Linked DNA regions of Elephas maximus indicus. The protein of the gene in region 1 interacts with the protein of each later gene in a biochemical or structural test. Links are inferred from orthologs where the notes say so. Each region holds a gene or a part of one and is shown on either strand. Other genes may lie near its edges.

Region 1 (7,816 bases):
GGGCCCTCAAAGCAAAGCTCCCAGTCCTTTTGGTCCTAAGGATGCCATGAGTGACCACTGTGGGCTCAGAGCCAGGAACCTGACAGCATGGGGGAGTGGTGAAGCTGATAGGCGTTACTGCCATGGCTCCTGCGCTGGGGTTTCTGACCCTCCCTCGAAGGCTGCTGGGAGCCTCAGGGTTGTCAGAGGGTGAGTCTCAAACTGTGTCCTTTTTCTTTTTTTAACTATCATTATGGAAAATTCCAAATACACACAAAAGAAAAGAAAATGGCATGATTAACTGCTGTGGTGCATCCCCAGATTTAATGATCATCAGCACAGGTCACTTTTTTTTTTTTTAATAATTTTTATTGTGGTTTAAGTGAAAGTTTACAAATCAAGTCAGTTTTTCACACAAAAACCCATATACGCCTTGCTACACACTCCCAATTACTCTCCCCCTAATGAGACACCCCGCTCTCTCCTTCCACTCTCTCTTTTTGTGACTATTTTGCCAGCTTCTAACCCCCTCCACCCTCTCATCTCCCCTCCAGGCAGGAGATGCCAACATAGTCTCAAGTGTCCACCTGATCCAAGAAGCTCACTCCTCACCAGCATCCCTCTCCAACCCATTGTCCAGTCCAATCCATGTCTGAAGAGTTGGCTTCGGGAATGGTTCCTGTCCTGGGCCAACAGAAGGTCTGGGGGCCAGGACCGCCGGGGTCCTTCTAGTCTCAGTCAGACCATTAAGTCTGGTCTTATGAGAATTTGGGGTCTGCATCCCAGCACAGGTCACTCTTGTTTCACCTCTTACCACCCCTATCGCCCTCCCTCTCCTGGCAGGTAATATTTATGCGGATCTCAGGGGTATCATTCCATCCATAACTAGCTCAGTATGTGACTCTAATAGTACCTGCAATACCATTATCCCACCAAAAAAATAATTTGTGATATTATCAAATATCCAGTAGTGTTTAAATAGTCCCAGTTGCCTCATAGTCTTTTTTTGTCTCCGTCATTGAGGCGTTATATTTGTACATGTGTATTATATCCCTGGAAAAAGAATCTCAGGATTTTCCCTCCTGTGTGTTTTTGTCTTACTTCCTCATGGTCCGTGATGCCAGCTGAGCTTATCAGTATAATGAGACCAAACTAATGGAAGAGAAGTAGATTTATTCTGCCACTTTTCAAAGTCTTTGAGTTGCATGTCAACTCTAAGGCCCATCACTGCTGTGAGGTTCATAACAACTTTCCCAGCTCTGCAATCATCAATGATTTCAAATTTGCCAACGTAAGCATGCTTCATCATCCCAGTTAGAAACCAAACGATGACTTTGGAGCATGGCCTGATAAGAACCTGGTGTTTGCCGGTCTTCTCGGTGCTATTGATGCTCTTGAGAGCGTAGGCCGGGATGTTCACGTACACCACTATGGCAGCACGGAAAGATGGTGGAAAGAGGGTGGTAGGGGCGAGTGCACGGTGTTATCTCTTAATTGTTTTTTGAATAGCTAGCATGTTGAAATCATGATCCAAAGTCCACGCATTGCGTTTAGTTGATGTCTCTTCCCTTTCTTTGATCTATAGCTTTCCCCTTCTTTGCTTTCACCCCTGAAATTCACGGGAGAAACTGGGTGGTTTTTCCTATAGGGATTGCCACAGTCTGAGATGCGCTGATTGCATCCTCACGGTATTTTTCACATGTTTCTCTGTTCCCCGGATCTCCTCCAAACTGGTAGTTCTATGTAGAGGCCTTACTGGACTCAAGCTCAGTTTCTGGCCTGGGTGTCACCGTGTTCTTCCACAGTGATGGCACAGCTGGGGGGAGGATTCGAGGTTAAGGGGCATGTGCCTTGCACACAGAAGGTGCCCAGGAAATTCAGCTCCTGTTGCTAACGGCCTTGAGGCAGTGTCACCTGCTTGCCTGATCTCGGGGCCTCAGGCACCACGGCCTGTGTGAGGTGCTTCCTCTGTGCCATCTCATTAGATCTCATTATTATTCTCACTTTACAAAGAAGAAAACTGTGACTCAGAGGTGAGGTAGCTTGCCTGGGGGTCACGGAGTAAGAAGCAGGCAGAGCTGGGATTCAAGCACAGATATTTCGATGCCAGAGCTTGCTCTCCATGCTACGCTGCCACTCTGGGAGCTAGGGCCCCGCTGTGTGGGAGTATGCAGCTGGGCAGGGGTGGGGGAGACCCAAAGTGGAGGCGGACAAGGCAGGGAGGGGGACTTTGTGAAAACAGACAGGCGCCAACTGGAGAGACTGGTTAAGTAATGGGTGGGAACTTTCCCCGTGTAGATGCTGGCTAAGCAGTCGGATGGGATACAGCCAGGCCTGTGGCGTTTGGGGAGGGGTGGTGATGGTTAACACCCCCACTGTCCAGCCCCTTTCCAGCCTTCTTGCCCCCCCCAACCCGTGTACCCCTGGAGCAGAGTGGTGGTGACATTGGATACCCTTGTGAGTCGCTTGGCCTCATGGGCCACTTTTCTGGCTGTAAAATGGGTACAGGCTTGCTTCCCAGGCTCTCCCCTCTGCGAAAGAGATAAAGAGACAAAGAGGGGCAGGGAGCTGCCCAGTTCACTCAGCCTGTTCCAAATTCCCAGATGCACTAAGCTTGGCCCTGGAAGACGGGGTAAGCTTGGCCCTGGAAGATGGGGTGGGAGGAGAAGCTTGGAGTCAGAGGGTCAGTGTCTGGGTCACCCCCTTGTTGCCCTTTGAGGAGTTTTTCCTCTGAATGAGCTGCTGCGCACCTCACCCTCCCAGGCAGCAGGGTATGAAGACATCCCGGGGACCTCCACTCCAAACCAAATCCAACCATCTTGCCCTCAAGAATCCCTGCATTTATTATATGTTTCTGATTCTAAAAATATATATTTTAGAAAATTCAGAGAAGTAAAAAGAAAAAATGCTTACTCCCACCCAGAAATAACCACCATTACTTTTGTGAGGTAGATCCTTCTAGTCTTATGCATATATTTACTTCCCAATCATAGCTGATGCATTGTCCTGTGTCGTGGAAGAGTCTGTTTCTCCTATGGCTTGTATGGCATCAAGAGTCCCCTGATTTATTTCATCATTTGGTCCTGGTGGGGACTTTGAGTTAGTTCAGTTTGGCAGTGTAATCAGTGCTTCCATAAACATTCTTGTATAGAAATCCCTGTCCACAGCTCTGTTTCCTTTTGATGAATTCCTAAGAGTGGGATTGGCCGGTCAAAGGGCATGAACGTTTTCAGTGCCCTTAATATAAACTGCCCAATTATTTCGTGCCTGTGTTTGTCAATGCTTGGCCTTGTGCCCAGACAGGAAACCTCCCGGCATGTGCTCAAGCTGCCCAGGTGGGTTCCCAGGGGATGTAACTTTCTGGGACCCCAATGCCCACAGACACCTGGGGTTTGGCATAGGCACATAATAGATGTGCAAGATATGTTTGTGGAATGTGTGGTCTGGTCCTGTCCCCTCATTTTACAGATGGAGAAGCCGAGGCCCAGTGGGTATGGGACTGATTGTGGGGAGGCTGGTGGCATTGCCAGGGCTGCTAACAGCAATGCCACCTCTGTGAGGACTAAGGGCCGAGGCTAGGGCAGTCCTCAGCAGTGGGTTAGGTGTGGATGTTCACTCATCCATTCTACAAATGTTTTTAAAATGCCTCTCTTGACCCTGCTATTAACCTCTAGGCTCCCTCTTCTTTGCCTTTCTGACTTCTGGAAAAAGCAGCTGAGGCTCCCTAACCCCACTGCCTCTCCATCACTCAGCAGCCTCACTTCTACCCTGACCTCTCCCGAGACAGTGGGCACCAAGGTTGCCAGTGGCTCCAGCTGACCAGGCCAGTGGACAGGTGCTCTGTCTGGCATTTATCACTCTTGATCCCTTGCTCCCTACTTTTTTTTTCCCCCTGTCCCCTTACCCTTTCATCTTTGCTTTAGAATAATTGTTGACCATTTGGTTTCATATAGATGATTTTTAAAAGATGCACAGTACTCACTGCTAATATTCTTTATTTTATGAGCCAATCTGTTATTTAGCTAAAGGGTGCCTCCCTCCTTTTTGAATTTCTGTAGACCCCGACCCTGGTGACTCCATCTCCAGTTCTCCCCCACCTCTGACCATTCCTCCTCTGCCTCCTTTCTGCCTGTATCTACTACCCATGGTAGCTGTAGTGCTGGAAGGAGATAGTGCGGGGAAAGGTTCTGGCAGGCGTAGCACACTACACTCCCCCTACCAACCTTAGCCTAGCACCAAGCACACAACACAACACTCAGGACTTCCAAATAGGCACGTACACCCAGCACGTGGACACCATTCCAGTACTTACGAGTACTGGCCAGCCCCCGGCACCCGTGCCTTACATCAGTTACCTAATGTGATCCTCTCAGCAACTCCTTAAGGAAGTGCTTTCCATTACACGTATTTTCCAGATGAAAAAACCGAGGCTCAGAGAGGGTAAGCAACTTGTCCAGGGCCACAAGGAAGGGCTGAACTGAATTCAGGGCCTGGCTTTACCTTCGGCTTCGTCACAGATCAACACGTACACAACTCAAGCCCATATAGTGTACGTACAGCCACATACCACACACACCCACACACAGCCGCACACCCTCTTCTCTGGCCCCGCCTCTTCTCCCGGCCCCGCCCAACGGCTCCAACCTCGCTGTTCCTCCAGGGCCCCGCCCCTCCGCGCGGTGGGCCCCGCCCCCGGCCGGGCCTCGCCTCCGGCCTGACATCAGCAGGGGCCGGGCTGCGGGCCCAGAGCGCAGGCAGCGCCGAGCTGCGCGGGCCGCGCTGCCGCCCCCGCCGAGCGCCGGGCTGGCCTCCAGCGGCCGCGCCGCCCCGGGTCCCGCGCCGCGGCTGGCCGCCCGCGCCGCTGCGACCCGTCCATGGTGCAGCGCATGTGGGCCGAGGCGGCCGGGCCTGCGGGCAGCGCCGAGCCGCTGTTTCCGGGCTCCCGGCGGAGCCGTAGTGTGTGGGACGCCGTGCGCCTGGAGCTGGACGTCCCCGACAGCTGCTCGGTGGTGCTGCACAGCTTCACGCATCTCGACCCCGATCTGCCGCGCCTGGAGGTGGGTGAGCCAGGGTGGGCCCGAGCCAGCCCCGATGGGGGTCGCGTCTGGAGCGGACTGACACACAGGCAGAGCGAGGCTGACGCGGGCTAGCAGCGGAAGGGGGCCCATCCCTCCTTGGTGGGTCACCCCCCTTCAGAATAGGTGTGTCGAGGGTCGTTCCGCAGAAATCCACTTCCTTGCTCAATCCCAAGACAGCAGAGTGGGCATGGGGGCTGCCAGCACCCCGGTCCAATTGTTTAGGGGCCAGAGCTGGGTTTTCGTGCCCCCTCCTCAATACCGTATCAAGGCCTGCTCTTGCCAGCCCAAGCGTGCCTACCGGAGCTCCTACATCACTGGAGTAGACCTTTTCCCGCGGTGCTGTCACTGTTTGCGTCTGTGGCCCCAGTACTGCCTGTGAACTTCCCGACTGCAGGGGTTGGGTCCTATTTCACCTCCCTTGCCAGGGAGGGGCCAGCACCCGGCATGTCAGGCTTTCCGGTAGCAGACAGTGGTTAGGGTGGCAAAGCCCTAGAATCCTCAGAGGCGATTGGGACCCTAGGGGCCTTCCCAACAGCCCCCTTTGGGGCCAACGTGGATCTGATGATGAGGGAGACATCAGGGTTGCTGGGGGCGGGGAGGGAAGGGGGAGACACAGAACTCCAAAATGTGGGGCCAGGTGTCCAGGCTGAAGGGGACAAGGTCCTCATTTCTGCTTGATTAGAAAATGCGCTGACACCCTGAGTTTTTAAGGATTTGGGAGGATTCGGGCAAGAGGGAGTGTGTATGTGCCTGTCAGGGATGGGGGCGGTAGGAGCCGGGACTCTTGTTTGTAGTGAGCCCTGGGCAGGGGGATCCAGTGAATGGCCTACCACCTCCAGCCTGAATCGCTCCTGGCTCCCTTACAACAGAGGCAGCAAAATGCAGGGCAGTGCCTCTTACCTGCCCTGCGTGGGTCCTAGACAGAGGGCTGACGGAGGCCACCCCTGGCCAGGGGGTTCAGAGCAAATTTAGGCTCTGTCTGGGCCAGTCCTTAACAGTGCTGCTCCTGGTCCCCGTGCTGCTTAGGGCCCCTTGGTGCTCCTCCAGCCCCTTCATTACTGCAGGCCACGGTGCATTGTAATAGCTGTGTTTGTTGGCCTCCTGAGAGCCTGGGTCCTGTGCGTGTATCTCTAGTGCCTGGACAGGGCCTGGATGTGTATTTGCATAGGGATAAAGCATGTTTCCCTGTCCAGCTTGGGGAGTGGGCAGGAGGTCGGGGGCTCTTGGACAAGAAGCATCCAGGGCTCTTAGAGGGGGTACTCAGGCCTGGGAGACCCTTTACTCCTGAGCTAGGCAGGTGGCAGGGCCAGACATGTTCCCATCCCTCATTTACCCAGAGCTCTGGTCTTCGTTGGCAGCTGGAACAGGCCCCCAGGGGAGTGGGGTGGGAGGCCCAACACCAGCCCAGAGCTCATCTGGCTTTCATTATGTCTGGCAGCCGCTCGGACATAATGTGTGCAGGGAGGGTCTGGCCTGAACTCACACGGGCCCAGCAGGTTCCTGGCCAGAGTGGGTGGGACTCGGCTGCTTTCCTCTCTTCTCCTTTTGTCTCTCTGTCCATCTACACCCTGAGGAATCTGAGGGAGAGGCAGGTCTGAACTCCTTCCCTGCTCAGGGATCTGCCTTCCTTCTCTCTTGCTGCTGCTCTCCCTCATCTGTCCTTGGTGCTGGGATCCAGGCTGTGGCCTGGGATCCAGGCCGTGGCCGCTGTTTAGAAATCAAAGGGAAGCTTCTGGCTGGGGCAGGAAAGCCAGGGTCCTGGCAGGAGAGAAGGCCACTACCGGAAACCAAACACAATGACCATTTACTATGGGCCCAGGGGAGGGGGCGGGGAAGTCCCTGTCCCTCCTGCCAACAACCCTCTCCCTCCCATACTGAGGCTGATTTCCTGGCTGCTATATCGTGCTAGAGCTCAGCAGCGCTGCTCGTTGCTCTGCTCGTTGTCCCTGTCCCCTCTGGGAAACCACCAGGCTCTGTGTGCCTTCCCTACCCCCAGCCCTATTTCCCTACCAAGCCTCCGCCCAGTCCTTGCCTCTCTGGGCTGCCAGATGTTGTTGCACATCTGGGCATCCGCTCTTCCTGGTGATTCTAACCAAGCAGGACCCAGCTTGTCCTGGGCAGTTCTGTGCTTTCTAGAGGTCACAGAGGTCCATGTCTCCGTGTCCAGGCAGGCCACTACCGTAGCCAGGTAAGAGGTGTTCTCAAGTCTGTAGCACGTGCTGGCTGCAGGCACTATCAGCTCATTCCATAGGGCTTAGCCAGCCCTACAGAGCAGGTGCCAACCTACTTTATAGGAAACCAAGGGTCAGAGAGGCCAAGACCCTGACCTAAAGGCATGCATGGCAAGAGATGATGTAGCCAGGATTCAGACACAAGCAATGTTCTTCACTGGAGCCTGCTGTGAGCAGAGCTTGTGGGCATCAGAGAAGGATAGGGCTGAGCTCGCTGTCAAGGGAATTGTAAATGCATGGGCAGGACTAGGCAGCTGTGGGAAAACAGGACCAGGCCCAGGCAGCCCATAAGCCCCAAGGGTTGGGCAAGGGGTAGGCCTATGACTCCCATGTCCCATCATTTCCTCCCCTGGCCTCCTTTCTGGTTGTCTGCTCTCTTGGCCTTACTGTGTTCTGGTCTTCAGCTTAACCCCCAGAGCTCATTAGCACCTTTGACAGTGGAGGCCCAAGATGGGTGGCCTAAGTAGTGTGTCTTTGCATGTGTTTGTAAGTTTTATGACATGGAATCTGTTTTGTAATCTTTGGGGA
Region 2 (7,122 bases), on another chromosome or scaffold:
TAACTGGTTAATTAAAAAATCTATTCCCCAAAGAGTAGAAAATTCACTTATTTGAAAACCATGTTTCATCCTCTTTAAGTGGGAGGAGGGGTGAAGAACCAACACAGTGAACGCCTGTTCCAGTATAATATATGCTTTATGTATTGTAGATAGATAACAGACACAAGTCCTTTCTCTCTTTCAATTTAATTTTTGTATAATATGCTATATGCTGGGAAGCCAGGGGAGCCTTGGAGGTGCAGTAATTAAGAGCTATGGCTGCTAACCAAAAGGTCGGCAGTTCAACTCCACCAGCCGCTCCTTGGAACCCTGTGGGGCAGTTCTACTCTGATCTACAGGGTCGCTAAGAGTCGGAATGGACTTGACTGCAAAGGTTTTTTTGGTAAGGTCTGGGAAACCAGATGATGAGGTTAGGGAGGGGTATAAAAAAACATGATGTGAACATAAAAGTCTCAGTGGTTCTTCATGGGGAAAATGGTAGAATTCCAGTGAAGAGTGGATGAACTCCACTTTAGCTGCTCACTGGTCTTTTTACACCAAGAAGGGAACCTAGTGAGTACAGCGACATGCAGGCAAGTCAAATTTATCCTTACCCTCCCCCCGCAACGGGCCACAGTGCAAGAAGTTGTCCCAGGACACCAATTTTAGACTAAAACATTACATACTGAGAAAAATAATCAGCACTAAATAAGAAATTATACTATCCGATGATATCTTGTCTACCATATTTTGCCCCCTAGGCTCGGGCCAAGAGGTTTGCTCTGGGTATGTGGCTTTATAACGTATGCATGCACCTTTATATGGACATGTTAAGACATGAAAGGTGGGACAGCTGGGGCACTTACTTAGATTATTATTTTATGTGTTTGGTCAAACGCTGAGATGTGGCAACGTGTTAGACTGCTCTGCTCGTAGATTTTTTTCATTTTAATTGCGTGGTGTTGGGGGTGGGGTGGTGAAGTATAATTAAGCATTTGAGTCCCCTGAATGGTACCCACTGCTGTCGAGTCGATTTCCACTCACAGTCATCCTACATATAGAAAAGAACTGCCCCACAGGATTTCCAAGGAGGAGCTGGTGGATTCAAACTGCCTACCTTTATAGGTTAGCAGCTGAGCTCTTAACCACTATGCCACCAGGGCTCCCTTTGAATGGTGTAGTTCCTTCAATGTCATATACATTATCAACACCAAAACTGCCCATCTGTTAACCATAAACAACTTGAAGATACTGAGACTGGAGAAATAAAAGGCTATCAGACTCACAGATCTCAGCAACAAAGGCCATAAAAATATTGACTTTATTCTAGTTTGAAATTTAACTGAAGGGATAACACAAAACTTTCACTTAGCTATTGAAGTGCACAGTCATCTGGTTAAGGAGGGTGGTGGGGAGAGGGCCTCCCCTTGAAGCTCCTACACTGCGTTAAAAACCCACTGCTGACAGAGTTCTTGAGCATGCCCTGAGTACACCGCGCTTGGTCCTTGCTTTTTCAAGATCAGCAGACTCAAGCTGCCTTCTGGTGTGATTGTGCTTGTGGTAAACTCGCACCTATCTTTCAATGTCTGTCTTCAAATGTATGGCTACAGGTGGAATGGGGTAGGAAAAAGAAAATGAGACTACATCAATAAGGTTATCTGCAGAGACTCTCACAGTAAGAACCAGACAAACATGTGTAATTCAACAGTAATTAGGGAAACTTGCTGAAACTCTGAACCAGGACACTAACACGCCAAACGCTCAAAATCATAGGGAAAAATATACTCAGTCAACTTTAATAGAAAACAGACATCATGTCCTTTAAGCTACCAGCCATAACTTTTTAGAACAGAGTTTATATCGGCAAAGAGCTCGTTTGTAGTAACTTTATCAGCTAATACCCGACTTACACATCTGAAGACTCTTCCGTCTTTTTTTGGGGGGGGGGGATGGTTAGATGGAAACAAAACCAAATGGAAGAAAAAAGCATTTCCGTCCAGAGTTAAGCCACGCTTCTTTTAATGAATAAAAGGCTTATCTGTGCACCTATAAGCTAACACTCCTGCAACCCCACTGAGCTGCTGTCTTCAAATAACAATCTGGCTTCAAAGTTTCGCACTAAATCAGAGAGCTGATTTCTGTAAGACGCATTTGCACCATTAAATCTTTTCTGGGATGATAAAGGTCTCTTTGCTCTTGATGTGGTATCTTCGCAGTCCATGTGTGAGCAATTTTTGCCATCAATATTGCAAAGGTAGCTTTTCGGGGGGAGGGGGCGGGGGCGGTTCAATCTGAAAATGTCTTGCCTAGACTTCCACTATCCTCTTCCCGACATAAACCTGCCCACCCCTTTAATCCCCTGCAAGTTTTAAACTTTGTTTCCTTTAGGGTTCTGTACAAGCGCTCCTAAGACGAGCCAAGAGACAAAGAGCTGTGCTGTGGGTTAACGGGGTGCCAGATATTAGTTGTGAAACAAAGCGGTCAAATTGGAGACGGAAAATGACGACGACGAGGGTGGGGAGGGCTGCAGAACCAGCAGGAGCGCGCGGGCCGTCTCCCCGGCCAGCGGCCCCTAAGGCGGACCCGCGCCGGGGCTGCGGCCCCGGGACAGCCGCGCCCAGTCCCGCCCTGAAGCCCGGCTCGGGCCGCCCCCCGGGGCCCCTCCGGAAGGGGCTGCCCCCGCCGGCCCGCCCGCCCGCCCGCCCGCGCCCCCGCGCCCGCGCCTCTCACCGCTTCACGCGGATGATCTGGTCCCGCATGGGCTTGATGTCCTGGAAGCTCTGCTGGTTGACCAGGCTGTAGACCAGGATGAAGCCCTGGCCGTTCTTGATGTACAGGTCCCGCATGGAGGCGAACTGCTCGGTGCCCGCCGTGTCCAGGATCTCCAGCACCGACGGCGACGAGTCCACCTCGATCTCCTTGCGGTAGAAGTCCTCGATGGTGGGGTCGTACTTCTCGATGAAGGTGCCGGTGACGAACTGCACGGTCAGGGCGGACTTGCCCACGCCGCCCGAGCCCAGCACCACCACTTTGTACTCGCGCATCGTCCCTCCGCCGCCGCCGCCGCCGCCCCCGCCGCCCGCGACATAGACTACGCCCGCCGCGCTGCGCCCCCGGACCCTGCCCCGGCTGCCGGCCCCGCCGCCTCCCGCGGCCGCCCCACCCGCACGGCCGCGGCGGCCCCCCGGGCGGCGGCGGCGGCGGCGGCGGCGGAGGGAGCGGCGGCCCTGGGCATGGGCCGAGCCGGGCGCACTGAGGGCGAGCAGGGAGCGCAGGGAGCGCAGCCGCCGGAGCCGCCCGAGCCGCGGGCCCGCAGTGCCGCCCGCCCGCCCGCCTGGCCGCCCCGCCCCTCGCGCCTCCACGCCCAGCTCCTCGCCCGCCGCCGCCGCCGCCGCCGCTCCCCTCGGCGCTGGAGCGCGCGCCCGAGCCCGAGCCCGAGCCCGAGCCCGAGCCCGAGCCGCGGCGCGGCCGGGGGCGGGGCTCGGCGGCCGGGGCGGGGCCTCGCGGCCTCGCGGCCCCGCCCCGGCCCTCGTCGTCTAGGCGACCAGCCGCGCGCGCTCCCCGGAGGCTCTGCGCAGCGCCGAAGCTTCGGCCCGCGCTTAAATAAACAAGCCCCGCGGCCACTCACCACCACCCCACCCGCACAGCCCACCGCGCCCTGGGGCCTGTGTACTGAGCATGCCCAGTTCGCCTGCCGGAGTCTCGGGTCTTGGCGGACACGGACGCTAGCGGGGCCAGGCCAACCTAATGCAAGCAAAGCAGGGAAGACGTGGGCAGGGGCTCTGCCTGACACCGCCCAGTCTGTCAGTATTTCTCAGGGCTTCGCTGTGGGGATGAAGCTCTGTGTAAGGTGAGGAGAACACCTCCGGCCTTCTGCCCGAGGTTGCATAAACGTAAGGAAAAGCAGCTTTGTTCCCAGCGGCAGAGCAATGACGGACAGGTGACAAGCACCCACGGCCGGAGGAGCTGCTCAGCAGCGGCCACACACACCGCCGAGGCAGGGTTCACGCCTAGCGACGTCGACGTGGATCCCATCCACCTCCCCTCTAGCCCCGCCTCCCACTGAGCGGGACTGAAGGCGAGCTCTTCCCACGCCCTGTCAGCTGCGGGCGCAGGAAAAACCCGGAGCGCGGAGCCCTGCGAGGCCGCCAAGAACACCAGGGATGCCTCAGCAACAGCCGGCTGGAGCATTGAGTAGGAAGCTTGGATTCATTCCAGCCAACCACAACACGTCTCTATACCTCGTGGTATCACTCAGGGCCAATAGGGAGCCGCCTAATGCCACGTGACACCCTTGCTTCAGCCAATAGGGAAGAAGTCTAGTTGCAGGCTCAGCCATCCATTTCCGTATGCCTCTCCAGGCGGGGCGTTTGCGCCTGCGTACTCTCTGCCAACCAATCGTAGGCGAGCTGGTGAATGACGCAGGCTTAGGTTGAGCCAACCACAACTTTCGATTGTCTTGCTACAAAGGCCGGGTTGTATGGAGACGGGACTCAGGGCTGGTGTGGCTGGGGAGGGCGTCAGTGATTGAGGGCTTGGTCGCTGTGGCTTCCTCTGGCAAAGCAACGAGGGTTGTTGCAGAGGAGGGTGATGAATTGAGTCTCTGTGGCGTTCTCCTTCAGTGATGGGCGTGGAAATGGTGTTGAGGGATTGGGGTGAAGGTGGGCTGAATCGCGAAAACAGAAATTTTCCTGTTCTTGAGGAGGCATCGTGCAGCAGTTATGTTGGTCCTCTCTGGGTGCCTCCTAAGGCATAGGGTGTGTGTGTGTGTTTTCCTGTTTTAAAACTTAGGTTATGTTTCGAGCATTACAGCTTAGGTACCCTTCTGCACCCACAGCCCCAGACATCCCTGGATTATTTTTGTAATAACTCGTTGTTGGGTTTACCACCCATAAACTAAGTCCTTCTAAAAGTAGTCTACTCTCATCCATTACTCTCTCACATCTCTTGGGAATAATAAATCCTTTTTTTATAGTCATAACGTTTGATTCTGGCGTGCCTCTCCACCATTACTTTTATACCCAGATTCGACAGTGTCCTAATGCCTTATCACTCCACTAAATTAGAGTGGATGATTCATATTCGCGTTATCTCGCTATATATATAAGATATATATATACAATATGTATATGCACACACACACCACCCTAAGTTTTTGTTTAAGACAAGGAAGTGTCCTGTCAGAATTAAAAGTGTGTAGTAAAATATGCCTCAGTCATTATTTCTTGATTATCATCGAAATATGAGTGTTATATCTGAGTCAGTAGGTTCAGCAGTGTATGAAGGCAAATTGCAAAAGAACTAAGAGGAATAATTTAAAAGAGACAGAAGAGGATCTGATATCTCAACCGAAGGTAGTAATGTGAAATAGGAATTAAAATTGAGAGAGCTCAGTTGAATGCTTCATATCTGAGCACTTTGGCAGAGACATTTCAGGAGGATGTTGTAGGTAAATGCACTGTTCACCTGGCATTTCAGAAGTCTGGTATTTTGTGTGAAACTAGTATTCTTATTTGTAGGTACATGAGCTCAGTCGGTAACAGCTACACTTCTTTTCTAAGGAAAGACCGACTGTCTTTTAAGGTCTGAATTGTCTAACTTGGTGATAATAACTTCCTGGGCTTGGTGGAGGCTAAGGAGAGCCAAGGAGCTTCAAAGTTCTGTCTTTGTGTAGATCATTACAGCCCGTGCAGTGCCTTATGTCGCAGTGGAGTTGAAAATCTGTTCCTTTTGCGAGGAATAAAAAAGGCCCAGTGACTTTTCTTTTTTGAGAAATTAGTGTTGGGATTGTGGGCCCAGTATGTAACCTTAAGCAATTGTTCTCCTTAGCTTGGGTTCCCAGACAATTAGGAGGCTCTGGATTAGAGTGCATCAAACAGAAGTTGTAACAAATATAGGAAGTGGGCTCCTTAGTCAGTCTGCTTCGCATAATGGAGCAGGAGAGGTGTTTGGCATGTCTCAGGCTATTCCTCTGACCTTTCACCGGTGCTGACCTTCTGATAAGCAGAAGTGTAGAGACTGCAGCCCTTGGAGTAACTGCAGTTTGTTTATAGTTCTGATATGGACAGGCCTCAGTTTGCATTCTCAAGTGGCATGAAGTAACTTTTTAACCACTAGGAGGCAAAGGAAATGTGACAGGCAGGCACATGCTTTCTTATCTGTTCTGGCTTGGATCCTGGTACTTACCTGATTGGTGGCTCTATGTGCAATCCTGGCTGAAGGACTAGCAGCCGTAAGGAAACATGTCGGGACATACAGAGAATTTTGAAGATTTGTGTGGGTAACGGCTGTCTGTCTCCTGGTCCCTTCATCATGTGCATTCCTATGCCAGCATCATCTCTCTGTTCTGAGAAACTTTAGAAATCAAAGCTTCTGCCCCCATTTCTTTGTGAGAAAGGCAAAATAAAATTGAGATAAAACAAAATTGAATTTTCGTTTAGAGTTATAAATCTGTGTTAACACTGCATGCTGACCTGCTGGGTCCCTTTAGTTTCTGAAGTGAATTTCTGGGGGGGGGGGTGGGGGGAGACTTGGTCTCTCTTCTCTCCACTGAATCTGAGAGTTGTCTTAAACCAAAACCCACTGCTGTGGAGTCGATGCCGACTCACAGTGTTACAGAACAGAGCAAAACTGCCCCATAGGGTTTCCAAGGAGGATTTGAACTGCCAAATTCTTGGTTAGCAGCCCTAGCACTTAACCACTAGGCCGCCAGGGTTTCTGAGAGTTGTCATACCTATGCCCAAATACCCTCAAGTGCCATCCATGCGTTACCATGGAAACCCAGCTCCTTTCTTCCAGTGAAAGACGTTGGAAAGGTGTAATGAAGTGGGGATACACTGTGTTGTGGGACTTCCTGACATCAGCAAGAAGCAAATATGCAGAGACTTTAATATAAACAAGTTAGCACAGGCCATGTGTAATATGACCGTTGATCTTGGCTGTAAAACCCTGGTTCCTGTTGATTCCTGTTAAAGCTCATCTCCGATTAACCATAAAAGGCAGGGACAAACCGCGTACATTAGCACCTGTGGCACCCTGCTGGGAATTAGAAGGAGAGCAGAAGACATTGTCTTGTTCTTTGAGAAATAGAAATAGGTTAAAAAGTGGGAAGGAAAGGTCAAAATAAACCTGTTCCTCTTCAGA

The links.
Region 2: the proteins of RALGDS (region 1) and RAP2A form a complex in vitro, tested with the Homo sapiens proteins (2 studies listed by BioGRID). The link is inferred for Elephas maximus indicus from reciprocal best matches to the Homo sapiens genes RALGDS and RAP2A.

Annotation. Positions count from the first base shown.
Region 1 is NC_064827.1:84,192,578-84,200,393, reverse strand, and holds the start of RALGDS (ral guanine nucleotide dissociation stimulator), read left to right. Parts: upstream 1-4,813; 5' UTR 4,814-4,853; coding exon 4,854-5,036; intron 5,037-7,816. UniProt on the Homo sapiens protein: Functions as a guanine nucleotide exchange factor (GEF) activating either RalA or RalB GTPases and plays an important role in intracellular transport. Interacts and acts as an effector molecule for R-Ras, H-Ras, K-Ras, and Rap.
Region 2 is NC_064832.1:92,112,683-92,119,804, reverse strand, and holds the start of RAP2A (ras-related protein Rap-2a), read right to left. Parts: upstream 3,047-7,122; 5' UTR 3,024-3,046; coding exon 2,710-3,023; intron 1-2,709. UniProt on the Homo sapiens protein: Small GTP-binding protein which cycles between a GDP-bound inactive and a GTP-bound active form. In its active form interacts with and regulates several effectors including MAP4K4, MINK1 and TNIK.